Sus scrofa: one gene and its partner. The protein of the gene in region 1 purifies or fractionates together with the protein of each later gene. This does not show direct contact. Links are inferred from orthologs where the notes say so. Each region holds a gene or a part of one and is shown on either strand. Other genes may lie near its edges.

Evidence for each region.
Region 2: the proteins of FOSL2 (region 1) and ATF7 purify together in Homo sapiens (affinity purification with mass spectrometry; 3 studies listed by BioGRID and IntAct, counting the BioPlex papers as one, with this or other methods). This does not show direct contact. The link is inferred for Sus scrofa from reciprocal best matches to the Homo sapiens genes FOSL2 and ATF7.

The regions. Positions count from the first base shown.
Region 1 is NC_010445.4:110,839,694-110,844,240, reverse strand, and holds the start of FOSL2 (fos-related antigen 2), read left to right. Parts: upstream 1-1,524; 5' UTR 1,525-2,549; intron 2,550-2,575; exon of another isoform or gene 2,576-3,458; intron 3,459-4,547.
Region 2 is NC_010447.5:18,835,692-18,840,247, forward strand, and holds the start of ATF7 (cyclic AMP-dependent transcription factor ATF-7), read right to left. Parts: upstream 2,903-4,556; 5' UTR 2,753-2,902; intron 2,733-2,752; exon of another isoform or gene 2,421-2,732; intron 1-2,420. UniProt on the Homo sapiens protein: Stress-responsive chromatin regulator that plays a role in various biological processes including innate immunological memory, adipocyte differentiation or telomerase regulation.

The DNA of each region.
Region 1 (4,547 bases):
GAACCGCCCGTCTCGCTCTTCAGGACTGTGATTATTTTCTAAAACCCTGCGCAGGGGCCCGCGTGGCCGCTCTCGGGGGCCCCGCCCCGCGCCCCTTCCCAGGGCGGTGGAGAAGTAGGGAGGCCGTGGCGCGCTCTGGAGCCGGCGAGGGAATCCCTCTCCCTCCACGTCACCCGAAAGCGAGGGAACCCGCACGCGCGTCCTCTAACGCAAATGACCATCTTTGGCAACAGGCGCCGGTGGAACAGACCAAGGGCGCAGGGCCCAGGGGGGTGGGCGGGGGTGGGGAAGGGCCGGGCTGCCTCGGGTCCCCCAAACCGCGCTCACAGCGCTCCCACCCCCTCCACCTCCTTCCTTCCTCGCGCAGGGTGTGCGGCTGGCGTCAGCGCGGCCGGGAGCCCGGGCAGGGAGGGGAGTGCTGCGCCCGCCTCCTCCCGCGCCTCTTCCTCCTCTTCCCCCTCCTCCTCCTCGGCCCTCTCCCTCCGCCTCCCCTAGCGCTCCTCCCGCAAGGTGGAGTCTTGGGTTGACGTGAGGTACAGGGGCTGGAGAATAAAGAGTGGAGTTGAACTCGTGCCATTGTAGTGACTCATCTCGGGCAGAGCGCTGGGGCTCCGAGCGAACCAGCGAGCAAGCAAGCGGCGCTCGGCGGGGACAGAGAGAGGGAGAGAGAGAGGCGCGGACGGGCGAGGCGGGCCCGTCCGGGAGCGGGCGCCGGGGAAGGGGTGCAGGTCCGGGCGCCGGAGCCGCCGCAAGGGGAGCGGGCCCGCGTCCCTCTCCGCGTCAGCTCAGCTGGAACCCCACGGGCCGCGGGGCGGGCTGCCTTCACCTAATCAAGTGTCCCTGCCGCTCGAAACTCCGGCGGCGAGTCGGCCACAGGAAGTTTATTCTCAGCTCCTTTTCTAAAAGGAGGAAATAGAAGTTTCTCCAAGCGGGCAGCCTTTCTTTTCGCCTTTTTTTTTTTTTCTTCCTTTTTTGCCCTGTCTGAAATTGGGGGCCCCCAGACCTGGCAGGCTTGACTCGCCGGGCTCCTATTCTTTTTTTAATTTCCAATTTTTGATTGAGCCGGCGGTCCCGGCTGGGCTCTGATTGCGCGCGGGGGCAGGAGGGCGCGCGCAGGGGAGGGACCGAGGGACGCGCGGACTTTTTAGAGGGAGGGACCGGGTGGACAACTGGTCCCGCGGCGCTCGTAGAGCAGGAAAGAAGTGCAGCGCTCGGCGCTCGGGGGGCACTGTTCTCGGAGTGCCGCCGCCGAGGGGGAGAAGCCCGGGAGCGACGCTTAGAGCCCCAGGCGCGGCCGGCAGGGAGCCAGCGCGCAGCTGCCGGTGCGCGGCCGCGGCGAGGGCGGGGGAAGAAAAACACCCTGTTTCCTCTCGGGCCCCCACCGCGGATCATGTACCAGGATTATCCCGGGAACTTTGACACCTCGTCCCGGGGCAGCAGCGGCTCTCCTGCGCACGCCGAGTCCTACTCCAGCGGCGGCGGCGGCCAGCAGGTAGGTGCGGGCCCCGGGTGCACCTGGCGCCGCGGGTGGACCCCCCGCCTTCCTCTCGCCAGGACTGCCTTTTTTCCCCCCCTTTCTTTTCCCTTTCTTGATTTGGCGAGAAAATTCTTGCGGCCTCCATTGTAAGTTCTAGATTTTCATCTTGTCCTCCTGACACCTCCTTTAACCTTCCCCCATCCCCCGCCAACACTTTTTTTTTTTTTTTTTTTTTTTAAACTAGAGCGGCGAGTGGGCTGGAGAGCCAACAAACCCTCGCCTTCACACTACATCCTATACAGACAAGCTCCTGGAATTGCAGGGCCTTTTCCCCAGGACCCTGTACCTCTCTCGCAGGAACCCCGTGGTTAGACCCCCCTCCAAAAAAAATCTTTGCACCCACGGGCACCTCCCGACATCCAGGGACCTTATTCCTGCGAAAAAGCCCTCTCTCCTTCGGTCTTCGTTCATTTCTGAAAGAACTTGGGGACTGGGAAAAATGGGCTCCTTCAAGTAATCCGGAGCGAGGGCGAGGGTTGTCGCTCTGGGAATCAGGTGCGAAGGTCAGGAAGGAGGAGGTCAGCCTTGATTGGCTCAGGCTGCGCCTTTCTCCCCCGCGCCCATCCATCTCCTGTTAGGGTCACAGAAGGAGCCTGCACAGCCGACCAGAAGGGGCGCCTTGGGGGTCTGGGAATATCTGGGGCCAGGACGCCTGCAGAGAGGGGACGGTGGGGGGGCGGTGGGGGCGGTGGATGAGACCTCGCTTAGGCTCCTGGGTGGTTCTGGAAGCCGGAAAACAACTTGTTTCTAAAGCAGGCGGACTGGTTTGCACCAGAGGGATTTTGCCTGAGATCTGTGTGTCTATAAATACCGGAATAAATACCAGAAAGGTGCTGCTGGGTTGGTGGTGTTCGTGGGGTGCCTGCCCTCTGCAGCCACCACTCCCCCCCACCCCCCGACCCCCACTCTTGGGAGGGAGCTGGCTTAACCAACAAGGTTGCTGGAACCTGAAGCCCGCCTCGGTCAGGATCTGCAGAGTCTCTAGGCAAGTTGGCTGTCTCGAGTTGCGCTGGTAAGATGATGATGGCTTTGGCTTCTATAAGCCAGCCAACCAGGAGGGCCTGGGGTGGACTTCTGGGGAGGAGGGACCCTGAGGGAGAATAAAATGGAAAGGGGGCTCTCTTTGGTATCTGAAGAGGGGTCTCTTATTCCAAAGTGGTTCCCCATACCTGGTGAGTCCTTAAAATGGCTTTTCTGTGTCTTCTTTTTACCTGCCCCGGTGTCCCCTTTAGCACCCCACTGTAGAGAACCTGGTTGGTGCATTGAGGGTACGGTCAGAGCACCCCTAATACTGAGCACTAAGGTGATGCATTTCAAGTCTTGTCCCAAAGTGTTTGATTTTTGTTTGCTCTCCAGCCCCATTGGTGGTTTGTATTGAATCCAGATATCATTAAGCAGCGGGTGGGAGTCATTTATACCCATTCCCTCAGTCTCCATTTCCACAGCACCCCCCCCCCCCATCTCCGTTCTCCGATGGGAAGGGAATCTTCTGATGTCTCATCTGCTCTTTTGGCTGCTGTTTCTATGGCAGTCATCACTGAAATGTTACAACGTCGCCGCCTGGCTTTGCTCAGACCCTGGGGCCTGGATGGGAAGTCCGACCGGACATCAGTGCCCCGATTGAATAATCTGTGTCACTAGGGCTTTGAGCCCAGGATGCAAGCGGAGGCAATTCCCTGTTTTGGAAGAAAATCAGACAGGAAACCAGTGCTAGGAAGAAGGAAGAGAACTCAGTCCAGCAGAGTGTAATGGGGCCTCATTACCAAAGCAAAAAGCAGCTGTTGGCTAATTCCTAGCATGCTGCAACACATGAGGATTTTGCAATTAGTAATAACTGCTGCACGGGGTTCTTGCATATATGCTTGCCCATTCGGCCCAGCAGCTTGAGTGAGGCACCTTTCAAACCGGAGGGATTGGCAAGGTAACTCAGCTTTGGATGAGTTTCTTGGCCTGTCCACTCTTGGGGGGTGGGTGGGAAGAGGGGAGGGTTTTCCCATCATCTCTCTGACTTGGAGCAGAGCTGTTCTGTGGTCCTAAGGACTGACGTGAGAGGTTTTTGTTACTTCACAAGTCTGGGCTACGACCCCACCCAGGCTCAAGGTAACTTTATTACATACCAGATAAAACCTGTAATCACTTTATTTCTCTTAGCTTCCTTTACGGGGAGAGGGAGACTTTTCCTGGCAGTTAGGGATGGGCCCTCCTCCTCCAGTGGCGTCTCAGTGGACCAAACCATGTAAGAGGGGTCTCTGGTTTTACCTTGGGCGAGTGAATATTATTTTTTCCAGCTTGCTTTGTTGGTGGGGTCTAATATTCCTGAGCAGTTTGTTGCTGTCCACCCCACACAGGGCTTTCTTCTCCTCTCTCACTTGGTAAAGTTTGATCTTAACACATGGCCAGGAGTCCCAGGGACTTGGGGGGAAGGGGGTGCAGATAACTCTTTGTTAAAAACCTCTGTTCTTGTATATGGCAGGAACTTGAAGCATGAAAAATATTTCCTGTTCCACTTATAGTTTTAATCTCAAAGGTTGGTCATGGGTGATTCTGATTTGTCACTAATAGTTGCACATACCTTCCCCTCCTGGCTTTTTCTTTTTATTGCTGTTGTTGTTTTTTCTCTCTCCTAACTTTCTTAGGAAAACACCTCCCAGATATATGCCCTGCCTGGCTGCTCGACTCTTACGGTTTCAGGCCCTGAGCATTACGCAATCCAGCCAGTTACACAAACATAGGTCATTTCATAACTTGTTTTCATCAGCTGGGCTCCCTTTTTAATGAAAAAACAAAACAAAAACAAGACCCAAAACTTTTCCAAGGCTGCCATTTGTCTGTTCCTTGGATAACTTGTGAAAATAAATCAAAGGGGACAGTTCCTTTTTGGAATCAAGGAATACCAGACTAGCTCTCTAATTCCACAAGCATCCTTTTCCAAGAGACAGACGGACAGACAGACAGACAGACAGACACACACACACAAAATTCCCCGGAGTGAACTTTTGCCAACTGTACC
Region 2 (4,556 bases), on another chromosome or scaffold:
TCTGCCCCTTAACTTCAGTACCTTTATCAAGGGATAAGGGACAATTATGTGCAGGTCTGCCAATTAGTTTCAAGGAGAGAGCGGTCTTTATTAGACATTTACATGGCAAAGCTATTTGCTCCACCTAAAACTTCCTTTCAAAAAGGCTCCTCCTCATCAGACGTGGATAGGAGGCTGCTCTAACACTGACTCCCTCCTACTGCAGCCGAGGAAAAGCTCAGTCTTGACATGTACAAAACAATAACTTGAGAGAACTTTAGAGCAGCTGTGTTCAGGCAGAGCTAGGGACTTAAAGCAGCAGCTTGTGAGCTGGTTGAAAAAACAATTTTCATTTTGGTTTGGAAATGGGGAGAGGAAAGAGAAAGAAGACATACAGTAACGGTAAATATTAGCATTTAAAAGCCATGGTAAACAAAAACAAAAGTTACAACACTACAACATCACAGGATGTAATCTTTAATCCACAAATTTCAAGATGAGAACTGCTATAATTCTCTACTTTTTTGGTAGATGTTAATAAGAAAAAAAATAATGTTGCATTTAATAGTACCCAAGTCAAAGCCATCACAAACTGTAGGATGGAAGAATAAAACAAGGAACTTGGCTCTCTCCTTGAATTGGGGGGGTGGGAGGTGTGTGCATGCGCAAGCTGCTGCCAGGCAAACTGTGAAAATGTCTGTATGTCCAACAGCAATGCTCTGAATGTGAAATTCTGGAAGCCAATTAAGTAATTAATCTTAAAAAGTCAGTAACTAATTGGTTTCAAAGTGCTGCAGAGGTAACTTCCTAGCCAGGAGAACAAATAGTTGCTGAAAACCCAAGGTGAATGATACAAAGCAACATACTCTGAGATTTCTCTTCATATAACAGCTTTTTGGGTATTTCAGATGTTATTTTGCTTCCAAAAGTAAAAGGAGAAGAAAAGAAATGTAAAAGACAAATCTATGTAACAGCAAAGGCATTATTAATTAATTGGCTGTATTAGTTCATTATTAAATAATATGTAACTATCAAACAAAGGGCAAAGACTTGCCCCTTTTCTGTATAGAATTAAGAACTGGTAAGACTACTTAGTATAGCTGCCAAACTTTCCTTTAGCTTCTTTTCTTACGGACATGTTAAATTTCGCAATCATCTCCACTTACCTTATATCCTCCATGTTTAAGTACAAATTGTGTTTGATTTCCCCAACCCTTGCCCTAAGATATTATGACATATCTTTAGCTTCTGAGTCTGGACACAAAGGAAGAAGCTGAAATTTTTTCACTTTCCTGAAATATGTGTGCATTTTATTTACACCATTAAAAAATATATAAGCTAAATAAAACTGCGACCATTTAGCAACTCTTCCAGAATATCAGTGGGTAAGAAACATATTTGACAAAACAAATTTCAATTTAGGATATTTTGTTGTGCTTAGAATACCTATAAAGACCGATGTCTCTACAAGAATAACTTGCATTACTGCAAAGTTTTTAAACACAGGGCTCAAGCGAGCTTTCAGAGAAAGCTCTGCATACCCCCACAAACCTACACTTACTATGACACAACCCTCAGAGATATTAAAACACCCTCTGTTAAGGAGAAAACAAACTTTTAAAGTTAGTAAAGCAGCAACGCGGGAATCTGGGTAGGAGGTGCCCTGGGTAGTAAACACCCCAGTCGGAGAACATAACAAGCAATTGAGAGCAACATATAACTCCCTATGGGGCTCCAACTTGGCTGCTTAAGTCTCAAGCCCCCATCCCTGAGTTGAAGAGATGAAGTGCGGGAAGAGGAAGAGGGGGAGAAAGGAAATCAGAGTAGAAGTGATGAAAGTGCTCTATTTTTCTCCTTCTCTACCCCTATCCCACCTCTCTTGCAGGCTGGTCACGAGACTGGGTGCAATATCCACCAAAAGTCCTACATCTATTTCCCAGGCTTCTTCTGATACCTAGGCTAAACGCTTGTATATATCAGCCGTCTCCTAACCAAACACCTCCCTTACTTCTCTGGATTCCCCCATACCCTCTCTAAAGTGATGCCTTTTGGCCATTAACACACCACTATTAAGTCTTCCCAAACTCACTCACTTAATTTTCTCCATATCCACTTTTTTCCTGCTATCATGTCCCTAATACTCTTTTTTATAATTCAGTCGAAATGCCGTGCTCTCACTTCCAATGATTTACCTCTATCTTTCCAGCCAAACCAAGTACCATGTTTTCACCTACTCATCCCTACCTCCTGCCTATTACCCTTGCCGCTTCCAATGCCAAGCCTCTAACCCCACTCTTGGAAGAAACCCTGGGTCTTCAACCAATTTAGTACCCCACCCCTTCCTCCCATTCCACCCCATTCCAGCCTCCACTAGACTTCCATTCCCTCAGGATTCAACTCCCCTCTCATTGCCACGCCCTGCGCCCCCCGGGGCTACTTACCCCAAGTTCTCCCCACACTTCAGGCCTCTGGCCCCGCCTTCCCCCCCCAAAGGAAGGAGGCGGGAGGAAAGAGAGAAGGGGGCGGCACTCCGCAAGGTAAAGACGATCTCCTATTAGTGCTCATCGCCGCCAATCGTAGCCTCCTTCTCTTTTATTGGTCGGCCTTAGCCCACGCCCCACCCTCTTCCTCAGACAGGGCCCGGCCACCGCCTCAGCGCCCCCGTCCAACACACACTGGGAGGGGAGATCCCGGCCTGGGACACTGGGACAGGCCAGAGTTGAGGGGGAGAGTCCCGTCAGCTCATGGACTAGTTAATGTTAACAGGACTTACCCGTTGGTAGCTCCGTCGCCTCCTGCCCGCCTGCGCTTCGTCTCACAATCTACCTCCAGCTCCTTCTTCCCCCCCCTCAGCGGAGCAGATACTTTCCTCTCGTCCGGCCAGGCGCGCGCACTTCTCGCGAGATGTTGAGAGGGGGTTGGAGGAAGGGCGAGATTTGTTGGGCCTGAATTGGAAAGCGGCCGAGGGACTGGCCTCCGAAAAAAGAAGGGGCTGGACTTTGAGTGGGCAGGGCTAGGTAGGGAGGCTGAACAAGTTCTCTAGGCGGTGGTTACACGTGTTCGGCTGCCTAGTGTAAGGGAGAAAAGAAAAAGAAGGAAAGGGAATCCTTACAGGTGCCTGTAGTACTGGAGATTCAAAGGTTCTCATTCTACAGAATGAGATCATCTTAAAGGAGCGCACTTTAAAAACGAGAGGAGATTATACCTCAATAAAGCTGTTAAAAAAGGGGAAAAACTGAGACAGCTATACAAGATTCCAAACAGTTGAGTAGTTGCATTTTCTTCTTTGCACTTAGAGTAGCATAACTGTGGCCATAATCTGCTCTGTGTGTGACTGTTTATGGCAGTGGAGAACTTCTACCAAAAGTTCAACCACAGGAATTGGAGACTTTTTACAAAATGCAGGCCTTCAGAATTATCACTTCCTTGAAGAATTGAACTATGAGAAGGAGACAGCCTTCGGAAGATTTTGGGTGAAACATCAAATGCAAAGACCATTTAAAAATTTCTCATATGGTTACTAAGGTGGTAAATTTTGTTATGTGGTATTTACAACTAAAAAAAAAACCTTGATTTTTTAGTTTTATTTTTTTAAGGCTGCACCTGCAGCCTGTGGAGATTCCCAGGCTTGGGGTCTAATCAGAGCTACAGCTGCCAGCCACCACCACAGCCATAGCAACTCAGGATCCGAGCTGCGTCTGCGACCTACCTACCACAACTCATGGCTACACTGGATCCCAGACCAGTTGAGGCTGGAGATTGAACCTGCATCCTCAAGGATACTAGTCGGACTCATTTCTGCTTTGCCACAATGGGAACTCCAAGAAAAACTTTTTTTTTTTTGTCTTTTTCTAGGGCTGCACGTGCGGCTTATGAAGGTTCCCAGGCTAGGGGTCTAATCAGAGCTGTAGCCGCCTGCCTACGCCAGAGCCACGTCTGCAACCTACACCACAGCTCATAGCAACACCGGATCCTTAACCCAATGAGCAAGGTCAGGGATGGAACCCACAACCTCATGGTTCCTAGTCAGATTCATTAACCACTAAGCCACGATGGGAACTCCCCGAGAAATACTTTAAAAACATTATTGTAATTATAAGGATGGTTGACTCAAAATGTTACCTCTGGAATCTCTCTCAGGAAGCTTCCTTTTGCAGTTTTATATCAGCTTTCTAAACTTCCTGCCTAGGATCTCATCTGTCTTCACAGCCTCTGAAAGGTAGAAAGAATCCAGGTGATTTCTCCCTAGGTAACAAAAGTGAAAGAGCAGCGTACAATCACCTATGTTCTTGCGAAGTGAATTGAGAAAAGCTGAGAGGGGTCCTGGTTGCCAATCTACTCTCTCCTAAAACAATTTCTACTTAAAAGAATACAATGATAGGAGTTCCCGCTGTGGCGCAAAGGGATTGGCGGTGTTTTAGTAGAGCTTGGGATACTAAGCTGTGGCTTAGGTCATGACTGCAGCTGTGATCTGACCCCTGGCCTGGGATCTCCGTAAGCCATGGGGCAGCCAAAAAGAAAAAAACAAAAAAAAAAATACAATGATAGCAGCAGACCCTCAGTATGTATGGGAGATT